Arabidopsis thaliana: one gene and its partners. The protein of the gene in region 4 interacts with the protein of the main gene of each other region in a pairwise test. Each region holds a gene or a part of one and is shown on either strand. Other genes may lie near its edges. The genes, in order: CUL1, FKF1, AT5G45360 and SKP1.

Region 1 (7,503 bases), on a different chromosome or scaffold from region 4:
GCTTTTTCATCATAGTGCAATGGCATGATTCTTTGTTTGTTTAACAGAATCTCAAGCAAATAAAAAGTGAGAAACATTTGCTCGATGGAGTAAAATGACTCCGCACCTCAAAACATATATGAACAGAATTTCTCCATGTCGTATATATCATTCTCTGTGTAGGCTCCAAATATCGTCTTTGATGATCCGTTCATAATTCATATTAACCCAAAAAAGAAAGAAAAAAGCACATTGGAATCAAGTAATATAATCCACCAGCTCCACCATTAACCCGTTCAAAATTGTTATTAACCTTAACATACCCGTCTTTGTATCCCAATAATATTTCAGATCATCATACAACAGAAAAACGGCTTAAAATATAAGACATTGGTCCTAAGCAGAAACTATTACGGTTCTGGTGGACTATAGCTAATGACGTAGATGATTACAATGATTTTTAATGTTCGGCGATTGAGGAAGGCACCTTCCGTCGGTTCATCTTTGTCTCATTAGCGTTCGATTATAAGAAATCTCATATTATTTGTTACGACTTTCCCATCCGTCAATATAACACAGAGATACATAAAACTTAAATAATATGATCAAGGATAAATATATTAGAAAGCAGAGATTCATTCATTAAGGCCATTTCTCCATCTCCATTCAATATTTAAGAAACAAAAATCCACAAGGCAAATTTGCATCCCAAAAAAAAAGCACAGACCGAATATTTTTTAAAAGAGAAAAATAGCGAAAATGAAGCGATAAATTTGTTTTAGGACAGTCTCCATATGGACTTCTAAATATACAAGCAGATTCCTTTCATGAGCCAACCACTTCCATAGTTGTTGTTTTTTTGCCCTAAGCCAAGTACCTAAACATGTTAGGATTCTCCTTGTCCCTCTCCAAATAATCTCTGGTTATTAAATCCTCCATACGCTTCTTGATCGCTTTGATATCAGGCTGCAACAAACATCACAAATCCAATGAGTTTCATCACCACGTGCATCTTCAAATGTCTCTGTATAAATATAATTATATGTATAATTTACCTTGAACATTCGGCTAAGTTGCTCAACACACTCAGAAACAAGTTGTTGATGTCCCAATACTTTCCTGCTCTTCATGATCCTGACAATGGCAGCATCAATTGCATATCTTCTGTCTTTATCGACATCTTCAACGACTTTCTTCCTTTCATCAACTGGGGGAAGAGGGATCTGTGACGCAAATCACCCAAGTTGATGTTAGTTATTAACAATATGTAAAACATGACATAAACTTGCAGACTTTTGAGTATTACTATTAACGTCACAAACCTTGATTCTGCGCATTCTATCGGTGAATTTGGAGTTGAACTCAAAGGCATCATTCTGGGAGACAGTCTTGGTGTTTGGCTCCTTAAGGAGTATCTTGTACTTAGCACATGACAAGGAATGAAGCAACCTAACTAGATCTTCATGGCTTAGGTTCAGTTGAGCCAAGATCTCAGTGTAACTTAACTTGTCAGTTGTGTTAAAGAGTAGAAGCACAGCAGCCTATAGAGACAGAGAACGTGGCATCAGAGTCCGTTTACAGATAGAAAATATATATCAGTATTTTCTGAGAAACATACAGTACCTGGTAAGTAGACACTATTAACTCGATGGCCTTTTGATCAAACTTCCCGTTTATGTGACAAGTTCCCAGTGAATAGATCCACGTAAGCTTCCTGTGTTTCGTTTTCGTTTCATAAAACCCTTTGAAGACTTCAACACACTTGATCTGAAACAAAGAATCAACGAATTAGATCTATCAGAAGCAAACAATCTCCTTTTCAGGTATGTAAGAAAATCAATAGAGTTTTTACCATTTCACTGGGTAGATTTATGTCAAATGATTTGTAACTTGGCCAGAAACCAGTGGTAAGAACAGTGACGGTCAAGTCAATCCCTGGGTTTGCAGCAGGGTTACTGCCTAGATAATCCTCGAAACTGTTTTGGTTTTCTCTTGCCAGTGTCAAATCCGTCACCTGTCACCAGCGGATTAAAATTATATAGAAAACATAAGTCATCAGAGCACGCACCGCTTTAAAATAAGAAACACAGGGACACTCAAACTAACCATGCCCTCCATCTTAGAAGTAAACTGTCCACCACATTGTTGCTTGAGCTTTGTCAGGATACTTCTCTCATGATCATCATTAGCACTGCGATCAAATAAGAGCCTACGGGCCAGCTTCTTCCTGCAATCAAAACCATAAACAAAATGGCTTGCAACTCAGTAATCCAACTTATGTCAATCAAATTGTATATTGTTGCAAGGCATCTCCACAAAAAGCTAGTAAAAACAAAACATTACAAGAAAAACAAAGAGTAGAAGCAAAAAGAGTCGATCCACAGATAAAGAAAGATTGAAGTTGGAGATAAACCTGTAGAACTCAGCGAAAAGATCCTTGTCACTTATGTATGCAAGCAATTTGACAACCTGTAACAACATTATAAAATTCAGGACCACTCTTTGGAGACTTGAAAAAGAAAAAACAGTTTGACAAAAGTACCTTCTCAAGCGTATCTTCGATAGCTTCATCACTCAGCTTTTCACTTCCCCCCTTTTTGAGAATATTGTCGCAAAATGTTGCAAGTAGTTCTGCACTTGAACTTCCAGCAACCGTTTTGTTACAAAAAATCTCAAATGCCTCTTTCAAAGCCTAAAATATGTTTCCATAAACTTAGGTTAGTAACACAACATAAACATGAATAAGATAGACAAATGACAAGTGCGCAGAAAGAACATTAGACCTTATGGAAGAGGGTGTGGTTCTGGAAACACTCGGTGACATATACCATGTATTTATCATGAAGTTCAATCACTTTTCTGATAAGAACCTGGAAATAATGAAAGGACAGTGAATCGTTAGCAATTTTATCCCCAAAAAAAATGAATCTCTAATTTCCAATATATCTTTACTACAATCGGTTTATAATTTTACCTGTTCCTGGACGCTAGCAGTATTTGCAACCTGTGGAATAAAAACGATCTTAGCAATCACAAACGAAGAAAGAAGAGTTATCCGAATATAACAAGTAAGATAATATGAACCTGATTAGTAGCCGTGTCTTCGGCCTGTTGGACAAGAGCGTTACCCTCTGCTGTGACATGCTGTGAACGAATAACAAGTTACAGTTAATGTCATACAGTAATTAAGAGACTGCAAGTAGACCATGAAGAAAAGACTATCCATTTGCTAATCATAAACAAAAGAATGAAGATAGGTAATAAACCTGCTTAAAGATGTTTGCAACAGGTTCCAAGCCTCGCAAAATTTTATGGTAAAGCCTGTACATCCTGGAGAGATCATCCACCTGAAAGTAGACAAATATAACCATTAAAGAAATAATTAAGTCACTAACTACTCAACAATAAAAACAAAAATACTTGCTCTACCTTGTCATCTCTTAGCAATGCACGGCACCCTGAGTGTTCTTTTTCTAGAAGCTGACTTGCAAACACAACCAGCAATTCATGTTGTACTTTCTGCATACAAAAGATTACTATACAAGTCAAACAGATATCAATCTTTAAAATCAAGTATGCCTGGACTACGCATTTAAAAAGAGTCTGGAAAGTATCTCAATACAAATAACAAAATTCAAAATCAAGGCTTATGCAAGATCTATGGTTTCTTCATCAAACCTACAAGTACAGGCATAATTACATAGTGCATAATAACCAACCTCAACCAGCTTTGGCTCACTGCTTGAGTGTAGGTAGTGAGCCACTCTCTCCCTCTCCTTCTTTAGACATTCTTCAGACTGTAACATGAAAGCACAGAAGTTAATAAATAATTTCAACTATTGTGAAATAAAAACAAATTTTAGAAAATGATATCACGAGTCATGCCTTCAACATGTAATCAGGGCAAGAATCTTCCTGAATCCAGCTTGATGCCTTGCGAGAATAATACGAAGAAGTATCTTGAAGCATGAAGCTTTCAAAATCTTCTTCATACCTCTCCATCTGCCCCATTCCAATCTCTACATAGATATCTAATACGTTTTTCAGCAGGGCCCTATCAATCTGCTCGCCCTCCCGTTCTTTATCAACCTGACAGAAGAACAGGTCATGTTAGACCTTGAATCAGGCAAAAGCCAGAGTTGGATGTAACTGCACAACAATATTGACGCCATACTTACAAGAGCTATTACAGCTTGTTTGACCTTAGAATGTAGCTCATTATAAACCTGAAGCGAACAGAATCAAGGAAAAGTTAAAAATATTTCAATACAACTGAAAGCTATAAAGCCACAGGAATGAATGCCATACCAGGTCACGGAAGCATGTCAGGCCAACTTCATTCAGTGGTGGAAGTGATCTCCGAGCAATGAAGTAACGGTCAAGGTAGTAGAAGAAGCGGGATAGCCATCTGACCATTACTTTATGGTTTGACCATCTTTTAAATAGCTCCCGCAGCATAAACTCATCATGCTTCTCCCTCAACGCAGGCAAAACCTAACCACAGACAACAAGAGAGCAAACATTCAAAACCGTTTGAATCAACTTAAAACCAAGAGGGGACAGGACTTCTTGACATATGAAACCATGCACAAAAGTGGCATCTTAAAATTCAGAGGTAGTAAAAACGAGAAGTTTATAAGAAAGAAACTAAATATCAATCAGACTCACTGTTGAGTTAATATATTCCTCAAATGCTTCCCGATACTTGTCATAAAGCTGCTGTGAGTAATCATGAGGAGGTTTCTGGGTGCACATGTTGTAGATAGTCCTGAGAATCAAATAAATTCCCCATCATAAGTATCAGGACAAACAGCCAAACCGCTATATAAGGTAATAAACAAGTATAAAACCTACGTATAAAGCATCATATATTGCTCAGAGTCAAATGCTGGCTCATTCAATCCTTCCAGAATCCGTTTCAGCTTAGTAATTCCAGTCTGCATATAGTCCCATCCTTGCTCCAAGTCAATAGTCTTGCGCTCCATGTTGACAAACAACTTTTCAAGCTCTCCTCAACCTAAGTTAACCAAAGAACAAGGAGAAAACCAAAATTTAGAACAGCAGTATTAAGCAACACAATGAAATGACTGAAGCGAGAGAGTCAACAATATTTATCATTCTTCAGAGGTTATAATAACACGTTAACACCCACATTATCGAATGCGAAACGAGTATTATCACCCAAATCAAACCCAAACTATCAGATTGTGCGCAAACGAGGACATAAGCATCAGAATATACTCGAGAAACAATCAATCCATGAGATAAACACGAAATTACACAGTAGAAACGCAATCCAGAGACTCCGACGTAACCCTAACAATCTCGATCCCACAAAAATTCAAATAAAAACCTAGAAAGACGAACAATCAACAGAATGATAAAAAAATCAACTGTCGTATGGAACAAAACAAGCGAGAATCCGACAGAAATAGTGATACCTCGAGATCTTAAACCCTAATAATCAGAAAATCGCGTCGCCGTACCCCAAACAGACCCTGACGATTACCGATTCCCGATTACACAGGATCGGCGAGAGCTGCTGCGATCGAAAAAGAAGCGAGAGAGAGAGAGAATCAAAACCCTAAGAATCGTTCAGGAAAAAAGCGTAAAATAGAGAGAAAGAGAGACGAGACCTATGAGAAGGGCGGTGAAAAGATATCTCAGGAAACAAACTCGTTCTCTTCTATTCTATTATTTTCAGGTCTTATAGATTTAATTATTTTTATTTTATGTCAACTAATATATTAGTATAATATTAAACAAATTTAATTTCTTACCTTTTCAGAGATCTACATCAAGACGCTGCGTTTTATAATTTTTCTTTGTAAAGTAACTTATTTACTTTTATGCCCCTTTATTTTGCCTTCCTTACTCAAACCCTAACCCGAATCGGCTTTTTGACAATCCGAAATTAGGTAACCATGTTCATTGAATTTATCGTTTCAACACATTCGAATCACTGAGTCCTACGTTTCAGTTTAATTCCCTGATGCACATTTTGAATTCGGTTTGCGTATTGGTCTTCGAGTTTTCCGTCGGCGGCCATGGACGCGTTCAAGGAGGAGATAGAAATCGGGAGCTCGGTGGAGTCTTTAATGGAGCTATTGGATTCGCAGAAGGTGCTTTTTCATAGCCAGATCGATCAGCTCCAAGATGTCGTCGTTGCGCAATGCAAACTTACCGGCGTTAATCCCCTTGCGCAAGAAATGGTGGGTTATTGTTTCTATGTTTTTTGGTATCTAAAGTTCGTGTTTTATTGGGGTATGGTGATATGGGCAAAGCTGAGAGGGACAGGTCATTCGGATTTTGGAATAAATTCTTTGAAGGGTATTGAGTCTAGCAAAAATTAGAGGTGTTTTTGGTATAAATTCATATAGCTCGACCTCTCCGTTTCTTCTGTGAACTGTAATGGTGATGCTTCAACTGTTTATATGTCATTTCTCTGATCAAGTAATCATCTCTGTTAAAGACATTAATCTGTTTAATTTTTTTGTTGTTTCAGGCTGCTGGTGCTTTGTCCATTAAAATTGGTGAGTCATCTTAGGATTCGTGAGATCTTTTGGCATAATTACGTATATCACAGAGAATGTTTCAATTCATTGTTGCTCTCTAGGTTCATTAAAGGCATACCCAACTTTTACGTGCTCGATGCCTAGTATCTGATGAATTTGTAAATATTTCAGGAAAGCGGCCAAGAGACTTGTTGAATCCTAAGGCTGTTAAGTATCTACAAGCAGTTTTCGCAATTAAAGATGCTATTAGTAAGAGGGAATCTCGGGAGATAAGTGCTTTATTTGGCATCACAGTCGCCCAGGTATTGTTCTTCTACATGATATGTACTCTTTTTTGCCATGCTTTTAGAATTCCATGTCAGTTTAGATCTGTCATGTTGAGGTACTCATGAGACTTTGGTTTGTCTCTTTATTATTTTCTTCAATGGCAGGTTCGAGAATTTTTTGTTACTCAAAAGACAAGAGTGAGGAAACAGGTGAGGCTTTCAAGGGAGAAAGTAGTTATGTCCAATACGCATGCTTTACAAGATGATGGTGTTCCGGAAAATAACAATGCCACAAATCATGTTGAACCCGTTCCCTTGAACTCTATACATCCGGAGGCATGTTCTATAAGCTGGGGTGAAGGTGAAACAGTGGCACTTATTCCACCTGAAGATATTCCACCTGACATCAGCGATTCAGACAAATACTTTGTTGAGAATATATTTTCTCTGCTGCGTAAAGAGGAAACATTTTCAGGCCAGGTGAAACTAATGGAGTGGATCATGCAGATACAAGATGCTTCTGTGCTGATCTGGTACTAGTTGGGGGTTCTCTTTCACCCACTGTCTTATTTTATTTTATTGTTATTATATTCCCGTCTTGACAGTCATTTTCTATATGTGCCACAGGTTTTTATCAAAAGGAGGGGTTTTGATACTTACAACATGGTTAAGTCAAGCTGCTAGTGAAGAGCAAACAAGTGTCTTACTTCTTATCCTGAAGGTACGAGATTAATTTACTTGCA
Region 2 (4,684 bases), 3.0 Mb from region 4:
AAATTACAAATATATTTTTGTGATAACATTATAAATATATATTAACATGTGGAACCCTAATTCTCATTAAACTGCTCACGTTAAAGCACATGCAGTACACCAACCATTTAAATTGTTTTGCTTAGCACGATTTTGTTTCATTCATGATTCAAAACTTCAATTTTTCTTCGTCTGTTTTTATATAAATATTCGAAACATTTATAGAATTTTTTTGTTTTTAATTTGTAATTTGGATGTGGTCAAAAATCATACTTGGATCTATATTGATGTTATACATTTCACGACTTCAAAAGAAACTATTGCTCGCTCTATTTCTGTCATTAATTAACTCATAACTTAACTTACACAAAAATTGAGATGATGACAATCATGAAACTATTTAAAAAGAAAAAGACCAGACCGGCCAATGTTAGACTAGGATTAGTGGCTATTATTCTAGTGACAGGGGTGCGATGAGTACCATTGTTTTTGAACATGTCTCTTTGTCTTCGCGATGAACCAAGCGGTCCCAAAAGTATTGGCAATAGATAGAGCCTCAATACCTTTAATTAATTATAAATTTCCCTGAATTTATATTCTCCAAAAATGAATGTTATTTTTTTCATCAATCAAAAAAAGTTGTTGGGTTTTAGTCCACCAAAAAGATGTTTGAGTTTCGATTGTTTGTGTTCAAAAAATCAAATTACATAACAAAAGCCAGAACTTTTTTTTATATCAAAAAGTAAAGAAAAAATAAGAAAAACAAAAAATCATAACTTTTTTTATTGAGGTGATAAGGAATGTAATTTATTGACGTCTTGTGAACCCGATATAAATCTAAAACTTGAAGTAGCTAATGAAACATAACAGGAAATGTTGGAGTGGTATAGAAATTACCTTTAATTTACCTTTAATTGTATAGAAATTAAAGATAAAATAAAAAGATAAATCTATGAAACAATTATTTTGTCTATATACCAAAAGGGTTAGTTTTCTTGTGTTTAGTTTTTTGGAATGGAAATATATTATTTAAATTGGAATATTTTTTTGGTTGAACACAATTGGAATATGTAAAGGTTGATTTCATGTACTTGAAAGATTATGGTCAGAAGCCTTCTCACACGGTTAAGAAAAATAAAAAAAATATGTTGTCTATTTATTTGGTTCAAATTAAGTTTTTGTGTGGGCTTTGTGGGCTAGCTATTTAGTATGGGCCTAGATCTGGACTTCTGTAAATCTTAGGACTACACTTAACTCTATTACTCTCATAGTATGCCACTATGTGGGGTCTATGGCCACTATTGCTATCAATTATTACATATTTACATTACTTACGTACATTTTCGTATTTCTAATGTAATTTTTTTGTTTAGAAACTTATATAAGTGGGAAGTTTTAGAGCTAAATCTGAATTTTCTCAACTGGGGAGAAAAACTCCCTTGTCTCATCATCCCATTCCACTCACCACGAAAACTCAATTTGTTACATTAACATTATGTGTAACCTTTTCGAGAATCGCGTTTCACAAAAATATCTATTATTTGACCAGAGTCAACGGTTACGTGAATCTGATTCCAATTGCGTTCCAACTTCCAAGTTCCAACACTTCACAAACAAAAACAAATATCTTCCCTCAAATCTCAATCTTCAAAAAAAAAACAAATATCTTTCACAAAATATGATGACGTGGAAGAAGCGAGTGGTTGAGTAGGCTAGATATTTTCTCGGAATATCCCCTGGTGACGTGTTACAATCGAACAAGAGTAGACTTACTTTTTTTAAACATACCCCTGATATATCCTTTTAATTACGAAAATTGCCACCAACTCCTGGCGCGAAGACTTCTTGCCTCGTCTTAAATATAAAGGGTATATTCGTCAATAAGTCACCAACTAAGCCAAGATATTTTAAAAGTTTAAACAGACACAAAAAGAAATAAAATATCATAAGGCTGAGAGCTTATCAGAGAAGAAGAAGATATTTCTGTAAGCGAGAAAAATGGCGAGAGAACATGCGATCGGAGAAGCCACCGGAAAACGAAAGAAACGCGGCAGAGTTGAAGAAGCAGAAGAATACTGTAACGATGGAATCGAAGAACAAGTAGAGGATGAGAAGCTTCCGTTAGAGGTTGGGATGTTCTATTACCCAATGACTCCGCCTTCGTTCATTGTTTCCGATGCTCTGGAGCCAGATTTTCCTTTGATCTATGTCAACAGAGTCTTCGAAGTCTTCACTGGCTATCGTGCCGATGAAGTTCTTGGTCGTAACTGGTATATTAATTTCTCCGATTTCCCCCTTTTTGAATTGGAGTGTGTTGTTATCAATTCTCTTGAATAATGCTGCATTTGTGGTTGAATCTGCTTGGTTTCAGTCGATTCCTACAGTACAGAGATCCTCGAGCTCAAAGGCGTCACCCATTGGTTGATCCTGTGGTTGTATCTGAGATTAGGAGATGTCTTGAAGAAGGTATTGAATTCCAAGGAGAGCTTCTTAATTTCAGAAAAGATGGTACTCCTTTGGTTAACAGACTACGGCTTGCTCCAATACGTGACGATGATGGAACCATTACACACGTAATTGGGATACAGGTCTTCTCTGAAACGACTATAGACCTTGACCGTGTCTCGTATCCTGTGTTCAAACATAAACAACAGCTTGATCAAACATCTGAGTGCTTGTTTCCAAGTGGAAGCCCGAGGTTTAAGGAGCATCATGAAGATTTCTGTGGGATATTGCAGCTATCTGATGAAGTTTTGGCTCATAACATCTTATCTCGGTTAACTCCAAGGGACGTTGCTTCAATTGGTTCTGCTTGCAGGAGGTTGAGGCAGTTGACGAAGAACGAGAGTGTGAGGAAGATGGTATGTCAGAATGCGTGGGGAAAAGAGATAACTGGAACACTGGAGATTATGACTAAGAAGCTAAGATGGGGTCGGTTAGCTAGAGAGCTCACCACTCTTGAAGCTGTGTGTTGGCGTAAATTTACTGTTGGAGGGATTGTACAACCTTCCCGCTGCAATTTCAGCGCGTGTGCTGTTGGGAACCGGCTTGTGCTATTTGGTGGGGAAGGGGTTAACATGCAGCCATTGGATGATACTTTTGTTCTCAATCTTGATGCAGAGTGTCCTGAGTGGCAGCGTGTGAGGGTGACGTCGTCGCCTCCAGGACGTTGGGGACACACACTCTCGTGTCTCAACGGGTCGTGGTTGGTAGTCTTTGGAGGGTGTGGAAGACAAGGATTGCTTAATGATGTATTTGTGCTTGATCTAGACGCTAAGCATCCCACATGGAAGGAAGTAGCAGGAGGAACTCCTCCATTGCCAAGATCTTGGCACAGCTCGTGCACCATTGAGGGCTCTAAACTGGTTGTCTCAGGTGGCTGCACAGACGCTGGAGTGCTTCTCAGCGACACCTTCTTGTTGGATCTGACAACAGATAAACCGACATGGAAAGAGATCCCGACATCATGGGCTCCTCCTTCTAGACTTGGGCATTCTTTATCGGTCTTTGGTCGGACTAAAATCCTAATGTTTGGCGGGCTTGCAAATAGTGGTCATCTAAAGCTAAGGTCAGGGGAGGCATACACTATAGACTTGGAGGATGAAGAACCAAGATGGAGAGAGCTTGAGTGTAGCGCATTCCCAGGCGTGGTTGTACCGCCTCCAAGACTAGACCATGTGGCTGTGAGCATGCCGTGTGGTAGGGTCATCATCTTTGGAGGGTCGATTGCAGGGCTTCACTCTCCTTCGCAACTGTTTCTAATAGATCCTGCAGAAGAGAAACCGTCATGGAGGATCCTGAATGTCCCCGGGAAACCGCCTAAGTTAGCTTGGGGACATAGCACATGCGTTGTTGGAGGAACTAGAGTATTGGTCCTTGGTGGTCACACTGGTGAGGAATGGATACTCAATGAATTACATGAACTCTGCTTGGCTAGCCGGCAAGACTCGGATCTGTAAAGACTCTTTCCTTCTTCATTTGGTTTGTGGTTTTGTATCTGTCACATTCCAAACTCTTACGACATGTAGAAGAGATATATCAGAAGCTAGAAGCGTGTGTACATAGTAAATTAGTGATTGTTGTACGCTTTAGATAGATATTCATGTAATGTTAATGGTTTTGCTGTATGAAGATCCTTCTATAATATACTTCTCCTTGTTACTCGACCATGCAGGATTTGATTTTTGACGTACCATCCAAAAGAGAGAAGACACTGAGTTTGGACATATATATATATATCCACAAACCCAAAAGTAGAAATAATCACACAACACCTCAAGTAAATAGAATGAAGAAACCGAAAAAGTAAAGTACACAAACTTCAATACAGAGCTAAAACCTATACAGCCAAACAAACTACTTCCATAGGACAGAAAATGTTATGCGAAAATGTCAAACATCTCTCCCTCCACCCTTTTTTCTTGTCGTCATCGCTAAGCAGTGTAAGCCGATCTAAGTCAGAAAGCATACTTATCTTTTTCATCCTTAAGTTCTATGGTAATTCAATAAATCACAGAGGATGTAAAGGAAAGCAAGAGAAATAAAAAAGAGATATAAAGGTTAAAAAGAGCTTAAAAATCACACCAGCCTATAACGGTTTTACTTGTTTAAACTGATACGACCACAAGAACTAGTCACATCTCCTCCCTCATCTCATTGTGTACTCCTTGTTAACCCACTTCGGCCAGCAGCTCTGCAGAATATC
Region 3 (4,441 bases), on a different chromosome or scaffold from region 4:
TATATTAAACTGTGGGGGCAAAGGAGAGAATTATGAGAATATTTTCCAACGTAAATATTTTAGCGTTGCGAGAACGCGCAATGGACGCGTGATTCTGTTTACGTAGGAGATAAGAATGTCTTTTAATTTGCACTTTCGCAAGAGAATCGAATCCAAAAAATTCTTATTAACATTAATTGAATTAGTACATATTTGATTTTAGGCAATGTCACATTGCCAATGTGTATTAATGAATTTATTTAATAATAATTTCATTTTTCTAGTTTTGCTTATGCTTATCTCACTAAATACTAAAATTTTCTAAATCCATTCATACTTTATACTTATCTATAAAATCAAACATTTATTAAGATTATCAATTCATTTTTCATTCAAACACATCAGTGGTGATAATTGATGTATAGTTATTAGAATATATTGCTATAAACTTCATTTTGAACTAATCATCGATTTGTCATCATAATCAGTTCTAACCAGGACAAATTTGTAATATGGTTTAAATGAACAAAGAATGGCTATAAAAATTAATGAGAAAACCAATATCGGGAGCAAATTACTAGTTACCAATAGGTTTACTGATAAAGTTGGAACGTAATTACTAGGTGTAACACTTTTTAAGGACAATGTTAATCACATACAATGATATATATGTATACGTTACAAAGCTGACTGATTAAAACAAGAGCTACATTTGATTCATTTCAACTCCACAGAACCCAGGCAGAATCAGGTCAGAGAGAGAGAGAGAGAGAAGACCTTACAGAAAGTAGGCCTTATGAAATTGGACAAAAGGTCGAGACTTTTGCTCAGCAGAACCTCAGGGTACGTTCCAGTTCCTGCTCATCATCGCAGTTGTAGCCAAGTTCAAAAGCTCGGGCTGCGATGAAAAGAAGACGCAAATAGTTCACTTATGTTGGAAAATAAAAATAATATTTGGAAAAGGAAGTGTGTGAGAGATATGAGAAAGAGATAGATAGATGTGTACCTAATCGGCTTTTATCTGTGAATACTTCAGCTTCTAGTTCAGCTTCTTCCTCATAACACCCATCTGCGTCTGGCTCAGTTTGTACAAGTAAAGTATCAGAACAAACTCCTGAGATAGTACACACCATGAGGTCACCCTCTGGACTCAGTATTACTTCCTTGCAGTTATCATCGCATACTGTTATAAAGACCATAAAAACTATGTAAGTTTAGAGTAAAACACAGTAACAAAGTTACATTTTACAGCATTTCATTACATACCATGAACATTTCCCGTCTCTTTGCATATGAACACGTCGTCAATCTGATGGTATGAACATTTGGTTCCCAAACAAATATGGCCAGTGACAGCCTTATCAGTAAGTCCTTTGCTTTTCTTCCATAGAGAAACTTGTTCAAGTACAGTATTGTCAAGAATTATCCGGTCATCCACCATCTAAAAATTGCAAACAAGAACATGAGAAAATTCTTCACGTGATGATTTGTCCTAAAACATAAACAGATAATTATAAATAGTTACCTGGGACGGAAGAGGTGCTTGGCTTCTCTTTGCTGCTTGCATATGTACGTAATACTCCTTGAAATCCGACGGACAGGTTCTGACAAGTTCAATCATGTCCTGTTCATCACGCTAAAATTCGACAAGAGAAAGGAATCACTTAAAAATATATATGATCTGACTTCTACTAGCAACGCAAACTAACACTGTATATTCTTCAGCAATGTAATACTACTTGGAAACATCTAACAAGTTTATACGAAAAACCAAGGAGAAACTCACATCAATATAAAGCTTCTTCCAAGCAGATTCACGTAACTTTCTACTTGGAAGAGTTAGACCCCACCGGATACAGTACCTGCATATAAACAAAAAACAACCAATAAGATCATCACATCGTTTTTGAATACAAAGTATTGATTTTGAAAACAAGATTATCAACGACAATAAGGGGTACAAGAAGAGGCTTACAGGCGACGCCATAAGGATTCATCAGCCGCAGCAAAATTGAGAAATTTACAAACCAAGGAGCATGATACAAGATCCTGTAATGACATTCAAACAATTTAGTTTAAAAGCAATCCTCAAACATCAATAAAGTTCGAGTTTGAACTATATAGTATATACCTCCGAAGATAAGAACTTGAGAATATGACGAAACAGCTCAGTAGGAACATTGGTGAAAACTCCACTCTCTATTCTCTTTGCATCAGTTTTATCTTTGTTACCATTTTCCTTTTGATCTTCATCCTTCTCTAGAGCCTTTGTTTCGCCTTTCTCAATACGTTGCCGTTTTGCCTCAGGTTCTTTCGTTTCTTCTTTATCCTCTACCTACAAAAACCAAAGCATCAATAAATAATCTAACCTTTCACAGGACAACGCTGAACAAGAGCAAAATCACAATGGACATCAATCGAAGAACATGAACAAAAATTATGTGATTTTTCAAAAATTTCAAATGTATGCATATAAGATCAAATTTACAGATCAAGGAACTGAAGTTATCAAAAATGAAAAAAAAAACTAGGGGAACGGGAAAATCTCGACAGAATTTCAGATTCAGCTACAAAATTCAAAGATTGATGGAGAAGAAATTACTAAACCCTAAATGAAATCGAAAATTTGAATAAACGGAGAAATTTTTATACCGATGAGACTTCTGATTCGAGGAATCGAGCGAAACACTCATCTTCCTCATCGGAAACAGACATACTTTTCAGTCGGTGAAGATCAAAGCTCCGACGACGATGGTTGCGTTTATGCGGCCAAGGAAAGGATTGGAGAGAGACAAGACTCGAGAGGGTTGGCGTTTGGAATCGGTGGCGTGAGATTGGAGACGACCTCGGGCCGAATAATTTTGATAAATGGGCTAATAACCTAAATGGGCCATATATTAATAAATAAGCCCATAACACTAACCCTCCTCCTTGTCGTTAGCGTCATTAATACAAATTAGCTTTCTAAACGTGATTAAATAACAACATTTTTCTGAATTATTATTACGAGTTAACGACGTTCGAACTACTACTATAATTAAATTTTCTTAAAACAGAACATTTGTTATTGGATCAGCAACTACTTTTTAAGGAGTTTTTTCATTTAAGGAAATGTTATATTACTAGATCCACTAATCGACATAAATAAAGGCATATTTTACCAACTTCAGTATTACACTGTAAAAATTAGGCCTGGAAGTTCGGCATAACCCGTTTAAACCGAACCGAACAAACCGACGATTTCGGTTTTCGGTTTCAAACCGATTTTCTGTTGTAAATCGTTCGGTAGAATTTTAAATTGATTTCGGTTTTCGGGTTTTTCGGTTCGGTTCATCAAAACCGATCGGTTTTGTTCGGATTGGGGAGATACCTTTTAAAACAGAAAAATCCTAGATCTATCACTTCATCTTCTTTGTTTTCTAAACTCTCCTCTTCACGAACACCTTTATTTCTCCTCATCTCTAACCCATTTTTATCTTTTAACCTTCTAATTCTTCCTTATTCCTCCTTCTTCTCCTTGTCTTCGTTCTTCTTCTCCACCTTTTAGGTTCGCAGAAATATTCTATTAAGCCACCGCGACATCGATCTTCTCTGGCAATGATTTCATGGTTCTCTACATCTTTTCTCACCACCGCACAATACAAATCTATTTTCTCTGTTTTCAATGTTCTTCTTCTTCATCTCACCCTTGTTTTTCTTTGACGGCCGTCATTTCCAAAAAATAAAACAAAACAAAACCCTAGATGGGTGTGATGGGCTTTTCTTGTCCCTGGAAAAAAAGAATTTGGGTTTTGAAAAGTTAAAAACCGTCATGGGCTTTTTGACTTTACTTGTCCCTCAAAAAAAAAGTTTTGGGTTTTTAAATGTCAAAAGCCGATATGGGCTTTAAAAACAGCCCACTATGCCTAATATTGTGATCTAAACTGATTAGGTTAACCGATTAAAAAAAATTCGGTTTAATTTCGGCGAATTATAAATCCTAGTAACCGAACCGAAAAAACCGAGTACCGAACCGAACCGAACCGAATTTTTGTTCGGTTCAATTCGGCAGAATTTTTGAAAACCGAAAAACCCGGAAAACCGAACAAACCGAACCGTTTAACCCGAGTAAACCGAATTTTTATATTACACCATTTTTTGTGGAAAATTTTCATATTTTTTAAGTAGGATATATGAGCATATTTAACAAATGTGTTAATCTGTTAGGCTTCAATGTGTATAAGATTTAAGAAAATAATCTGGCAAATTTTTTTTTGCCTCAACTTAACAAAAAATCATAGTTAACAAATTGAAGAAGACCAACGACTACAATGACCAGAGAAGTTTTTTTTTTTTTTGGAACGAAAAAACAGAGAAGTTAGAATTACAATTTACAGAGCAAATCAAAGGATCTCAATTTCTTTAGTCAACAGGTGTTCCTTCTCTTCTTCCTCGATTCGGAGGTAGAGAAGAAAAATGGCAG
Region 4 (3,850 bases):
CATCGGAACGGAAAACTGGAGCTCGTACATTTCCGGAGTATTAGCAGATAGGACAGAGACAACGTCGGATCTTCCTATTCCAATGGAAGACAGAGCAGACGCGACGCAGAGGCAACGGTGATTCGTTTCTCGCCATGTGTACACGGTGGAATTGCCGTAAACGATGGAGGTACAGTCTCCATACACGGTGGCTGCTCTCTCAAGAAAGCCTAACAGTGTCAATGGTAACGAGTTAGCGGCACTTGGCTTCAAATCTTCCATTTTCTTTAGCTCTTTTCGAGTGACCACAATGTGAGTGTTACTGTATATAAAGAAGATATCTCTTTCAGTCTCATAGTAAAGATAAGATACACAATGACGAGACGAGAGACCACTTGACTAGCCAGACAAACAATTAAAGTAATTATATTGATGTACATGTGATCCACGTTCGGTTGAGTGGAAACTTTGTTTTCTTATATGCAAACAAAGCCCACATGTTATCGAATGTTGACGAATGGGTGATGCTGATTATGTTAGTATTTGAGAAGATGTTGACAAGATACAAATACGTGATGCAGATATTTATGTAAGTAGATGAGCAGGAGCAGGGCATAACTGGTGACCATTGGTTTCAATGAGTAGTCGTCATGATCCTTCACATTCTGCTTGCAGACTCTGCCAAATTCAGTTTCTTTTTATTTACACATGAACATTCCTAAAATGAATCGTGCAAATTAGCATTCTGTGGCGATTGGCAAGACAATTGAAAGAAGTTATTTTGTAAGACAAACCAACATCACTCTTGAAGATTATCTAAAAGCACAAATTATCCATCCCACAAAGAGTAAGAAACATTGGTTCTTGATAAGAAAGAAAGAAGAGGAAGAAGATAGTCATGATTCATGAAGAATATTAAAAAGCAAGTCATCAACAACACTTGAAAACGGCAATAAACATAAGGAAGAAGAAACTGGTTGCTTGCTGCTTTTGATTCTTCTCTCTGAAGATCAATCATTCAAAAGCCCATTGGTTCTCTCTGCGAACCTCTTCCTCTTCCTCTGGTGTGAAGTCGTTCTTAATGTTGAACGTTGTGCGGATCTCTTCTGGAGTCTTTCCTTTGATCATATCCGCAACTGTCTGACATGTTAGATCAAGCAAGTTCTTGATATTCAGGTAATTAGCAGCCTGCACAAGATCCCAAATTCATAACCATTAGATCAAAATCCGAATCCAAAAACACAGATATGATTATAATCCAAATCGATAGATTCAATTAATGATTGGTTCCATAAGAACCCTAACAATATCAATCTCAAGCAGATTCAATTTCTGAAACAAACACCTAAATTTCGAAACCCTAATTTTCCCAAATCGAAAACCCTAGAATCCCAAAATTCAAAATTCGATGGAAAAATCAAATCAGATCGAGAGAAGAAACATACCAGAATGAGTTCAAAGAGAGTAGCTTGATCGATCTTCATAAAATCAGCGTCCCAGGCCTTAAGATCGTCATCGGAGGTAGCAGCACCCTCGACGGCCTCGGCCTTAGAGGCAGCAGCCTCGACGTGCCTCTTGCAATACTCGATCACCTTGGCGAGGATCTTGCTCGTGACGTTAGGAAGAGGGACTCCGTTGTCGACGCAGTCGTCTTCAACCATATGCGCTATGGTTTGTGACTCGAGAGCCACCGCCTCCTCAACCTCGAAAGATTCACCATCGGAACTCTTCAACACAATCTTCTTCGCAGACATGGTTATGGAAACGAAGAGAGAAGAGAAAGATTTTAGATTTGGGAGATTTGTTCTTTGAAGAAAATTTTGGAGAAGCGATGAATGAAATAAAGAGATGCGTCTCTCTTTATATATAAAACAATCCCTAATTTTGATAAGTCGGTCGATTGTTAAAAAGTCGCAAGTTTAGGGAAATTAGGAAATTGTTTCAAATTTTGTTTTTCTAAAAGAAAAATAGAAATCAATCCTATTGATTTTAAATTTTGTTTTCAATAGTTGAAATTAATGAAATTAGGACTCTGTTCTATTTTTCTTTTGGAAATATTAACTTTGATCCGTTTAATTCGTTGTATTTATCTCATTATTAATAATATATGATTTTATATATATTTTTTTTCCATCCAGCTCCATAATTGTCAAAAAAAGTAAAAGAACCAAAAATCACCGTAGGATAAGTATTAGTCAATCAAATCAGCTTTGTCAGCTTTAAGATCATGTTTTTTGAACATTTATTTTTATTTTATATTAAGTTAATATTAATATGTCATAATAAATAATATATCTAACTAGTTTTTGGTCAAGAGTCATACAATATTTTAGGCCTGGGATAACGGTTCAACCCGAGAAAACCGAACCGAAAAAAACGAAAATTTTGGTTTTCGGCAGCAACCGAATTAAGGAGATCGAACCGATCGGCCAAATTAATTTAAGAATTCGGAAGTCGGTTCGGGTCGGTTCGGTAATCGGAACCAATCGGTTTCACCCATACCGAGAATCTGCAGCCATATATAAGGTTAATTGATGAGTCTTAACCTAATTAGGTTTCTTCTTCGTTTTTGGCTCTCTGCCTCTTGCGAAAACAACAAAGAAACTTTGATATTTTTCTTCGATTGAATTAGTAATCATCAACTCGTCTCTTCTCCTTCATGAATTCATCATCTTCCAAGCCTCTTTCATTCTCTCTAATCTCAGTTGGTCTTACAAAAAACCTTTGCTCAGAGATTCAACCCACAACCTCAACTTTCTTAGGGTAAACTCTTCTTATTTCTCTTTAATCATTTGTTTTGTTTGATTCTTTGCTCTCTAAGCTCTTCCTCTGTCTCTATAATTTCTGAAATTTTAGAGTTAGGCTTTACACTTCCAAATCTGAGATTATCCATTATTTTTATGGATCTTTTATGGTTTACACTTCCATCTCATGTTTTTTCTTACTTCATGGATAACAAACGGGCGTTTAACAGGTCTCGTAGGGCATTACGTCGTCGGAATGGTAGATCACTAGATTGGAGAGGCACTGCTCGACGTCGCAGTTTGGAGTTGTAGTCGTACATATTTTTTTTGTCAAAACTCAAAACCCTAATTTTGTAATGGACCTGACCCATAATTGTGTTGTGGATTTGTAATTGTAACTGTATATTTGTGTATTGGGCCTGTTGTTTGTTTTTTATTAGATTTCATTTTTGTAAGTCCATTTTTTTAATTTGTGGTTTATTTGGTTCAAATTAACCGAATTAGAAAAAAAATCGGTTTAATCCGGAATTTAATTTATACCCAATAACCGAACCGAAAAAACCGATGTCCGAACCGACCCGAACCGAATTTTTGTTCGGTTCAATTCGGCTAGAAATTAAAAAATCCAAAAACCCCGAAAAACTAAATAAACCGAACCGATTAAACCGATATATCCGAACTCCCAGGGCTACAATATTTATATAATGCTGTGGATTTTATTCTCTCTTTCATTTATTTCTTAATGGGTAATATATATTCTTAGATATAATATTCAACTTTGTTTTGTTTTCTTTTCTAGTTATAACTAATCATATACATCAAGATAAGGTGTATGATTTATATGCTTACTTATATGATTATATGGTAACTTTTTTGAAATGCATTCAGTTTTTTTAGTTATAACGTATTTTATTCTTTATTTACATGGTTTTTTGTAATTTAAAATGGACATGTGTCATACAAAAAAAGCATTATAACATTTTTATATAATATTATATTTTTATCACTTCTTACTGTCCATAGAAAAAATTATATTACCCTCTACAAAACCGTGGATGGAGGATAGGATGATGATTCTCACCTACCAAATTCAAGTATCTTCTTAAAGATACTGAGTCTTATCAGAA

What was found.
Region 1: the proteins of SKP1 (region 4) and CUL1 interact in binary tests that used the Arabidopsis thaliana proteins (3 or more experiments, as listed by UniProt).
Region 2: the proteins of SKP1 (region 4) and FKF1 interact in a two-hybrid assay, tested with the Arabidopsis thaliana proteins (3 studies listed by BioGRID).
Region 3: the proteins of SKP1 (region 4) and AT5G45360 interact in a two-hybrid assay, tested with the Arabidopsis thaliana proteins (3 studies listed by BioGRID).

The regions. Positions count from the first base shown.
Region 1 is NC_003075.7:1,126,776-1,134,278, reverse strand, and holds CUL1 (cullin 1), read right to left. Parts: upstream 5,765-7,503; 5' UTR 5,616-5,764; exon of another isoform or gene 5,522-5,615; 5' UTR 5,466-5,521; exon of another isoform or gene 5,421-5,465; intron 4,997-5,420; 5' UTR 4,965-4,996; coding exon 4,834-4,964; intron 4,748-4,833; coding exon 4,648-4,747; intron 4,474-4,647; coding exon 4,288-4,473; intron 4,206-4,287; coding exon 4,158-4,205; intron 4,069-4,157; coding exon 3,865-4,068; intron 3,777-3,864; coding exon 3,699-3,776; intron 3,499-3,698; coding exon 3,409-3,498; intron 3,327-3,408; coding exon 3,246-3,326; intron 3,124-3,245; coding exon 3,064-3,123; intron 2,984-3,063; coding exon 2,954-2,983; intron 2,850-2,953; coding exon 2,763-2,849; intron 2,672-2,762; coding exon 2,522-2,671; intron 2,449-2,521; coding exon 2,393-2,448; intron 2,207-2,392; coding exon 2,086-2,206; intron 1,994-2,085; coding exon 1,832-1,993; intron 1,747-1,831; coding exon 1,603-1,746; intron 1,521-1,602; coding exon 1,302-1,520; and 6 more. Other genes in the region: LD (Homeodomain-like superfamily protein), read left to right, coding at 6,027-6,191, 6,485-6,512, 6,666-6,796, 6,926-7,293, 7,388-7,481.
Region 2 is NC_003070.9:25,506,760-25,511,443, forward strand, and holds FKF1 (flavin-binding, kelch repeat, f box 1), read left to right. Parts: upstream 1-1,879; 5' UTR 1,880-1,977; coding exon 1,978-2,249; intron 2,250-2,350; coding exon 2,351-3,938; 3' UTR 3,939-4,148; downstream 4,149-4,684. Other genes in the region: MAP70-1 (microtubule-associated proteins 70-1), read right to left, coding at 4,633-4,672. UniProt on the Arabidopsis thaliana protein: Component of an E3 ubiquitin ligase complex that plays a central role in blue light-dependent circadian cycles.
Region 3 is NC_003076.8:18,383,977-18,388,417, forward strand, and holds AT5G45360 (F-box family protein), read right to left. Parts: upstream 2,896-4,441; 5' UTR 2,695-2,895; coding exon 2,632-2,694; intron 2,315-2,631; coding exon 2,111-2,314; intron 2,029-2,110; coding exon 1,955-2,028; intron 1,842-1,954; coding exon 1,766-1,841; intron 1,616-1,765; coding exon 1,505-1,615; intron 1,421-1,504; coding exon 1,246-1,420; intron 1,163-1,245; coding exon 986-1,162; intron 878-985; coding exon 807-877; 3' UTR 513-806; downstream 1-512. Other genes in the region: UMAMIT1 (nodulin MtN21 /EamA-like transporter family protein), read left to right, coding at 4,435-4,441.
Region 4 is NC_003070.9:28,514,598-28,518,447, reverse strand, and holds SKP1 (S phase kinase-associated protein 1), read right to left. Parts: upstream 1,930-3,850; 5' UTR 1,734-1,929; coding exon 1,425-1,733; intron 1,168-1,424; coding exon 994-1,167; 3' UTR 552-993; downstream 1-551. Other genes in the region: AT1G75960 (AMP-dependent synthetase and ligase family protein), read right to left, coding at 1-261; AT1G75945 (uncharacterized protein), read left to right, coding at 2,639-2,742, 2,954-3,035. UniProt on the Arabidopsis thaliana protein: Involved in ubiquitination and subsequent proteasomal degradation of target proteins. Together with CUL1, RBX1 and a F-box protein, it forms a SCF E3 ubiquitin ligase complex. The functional specificity of this complex depends on the type of F-box protein.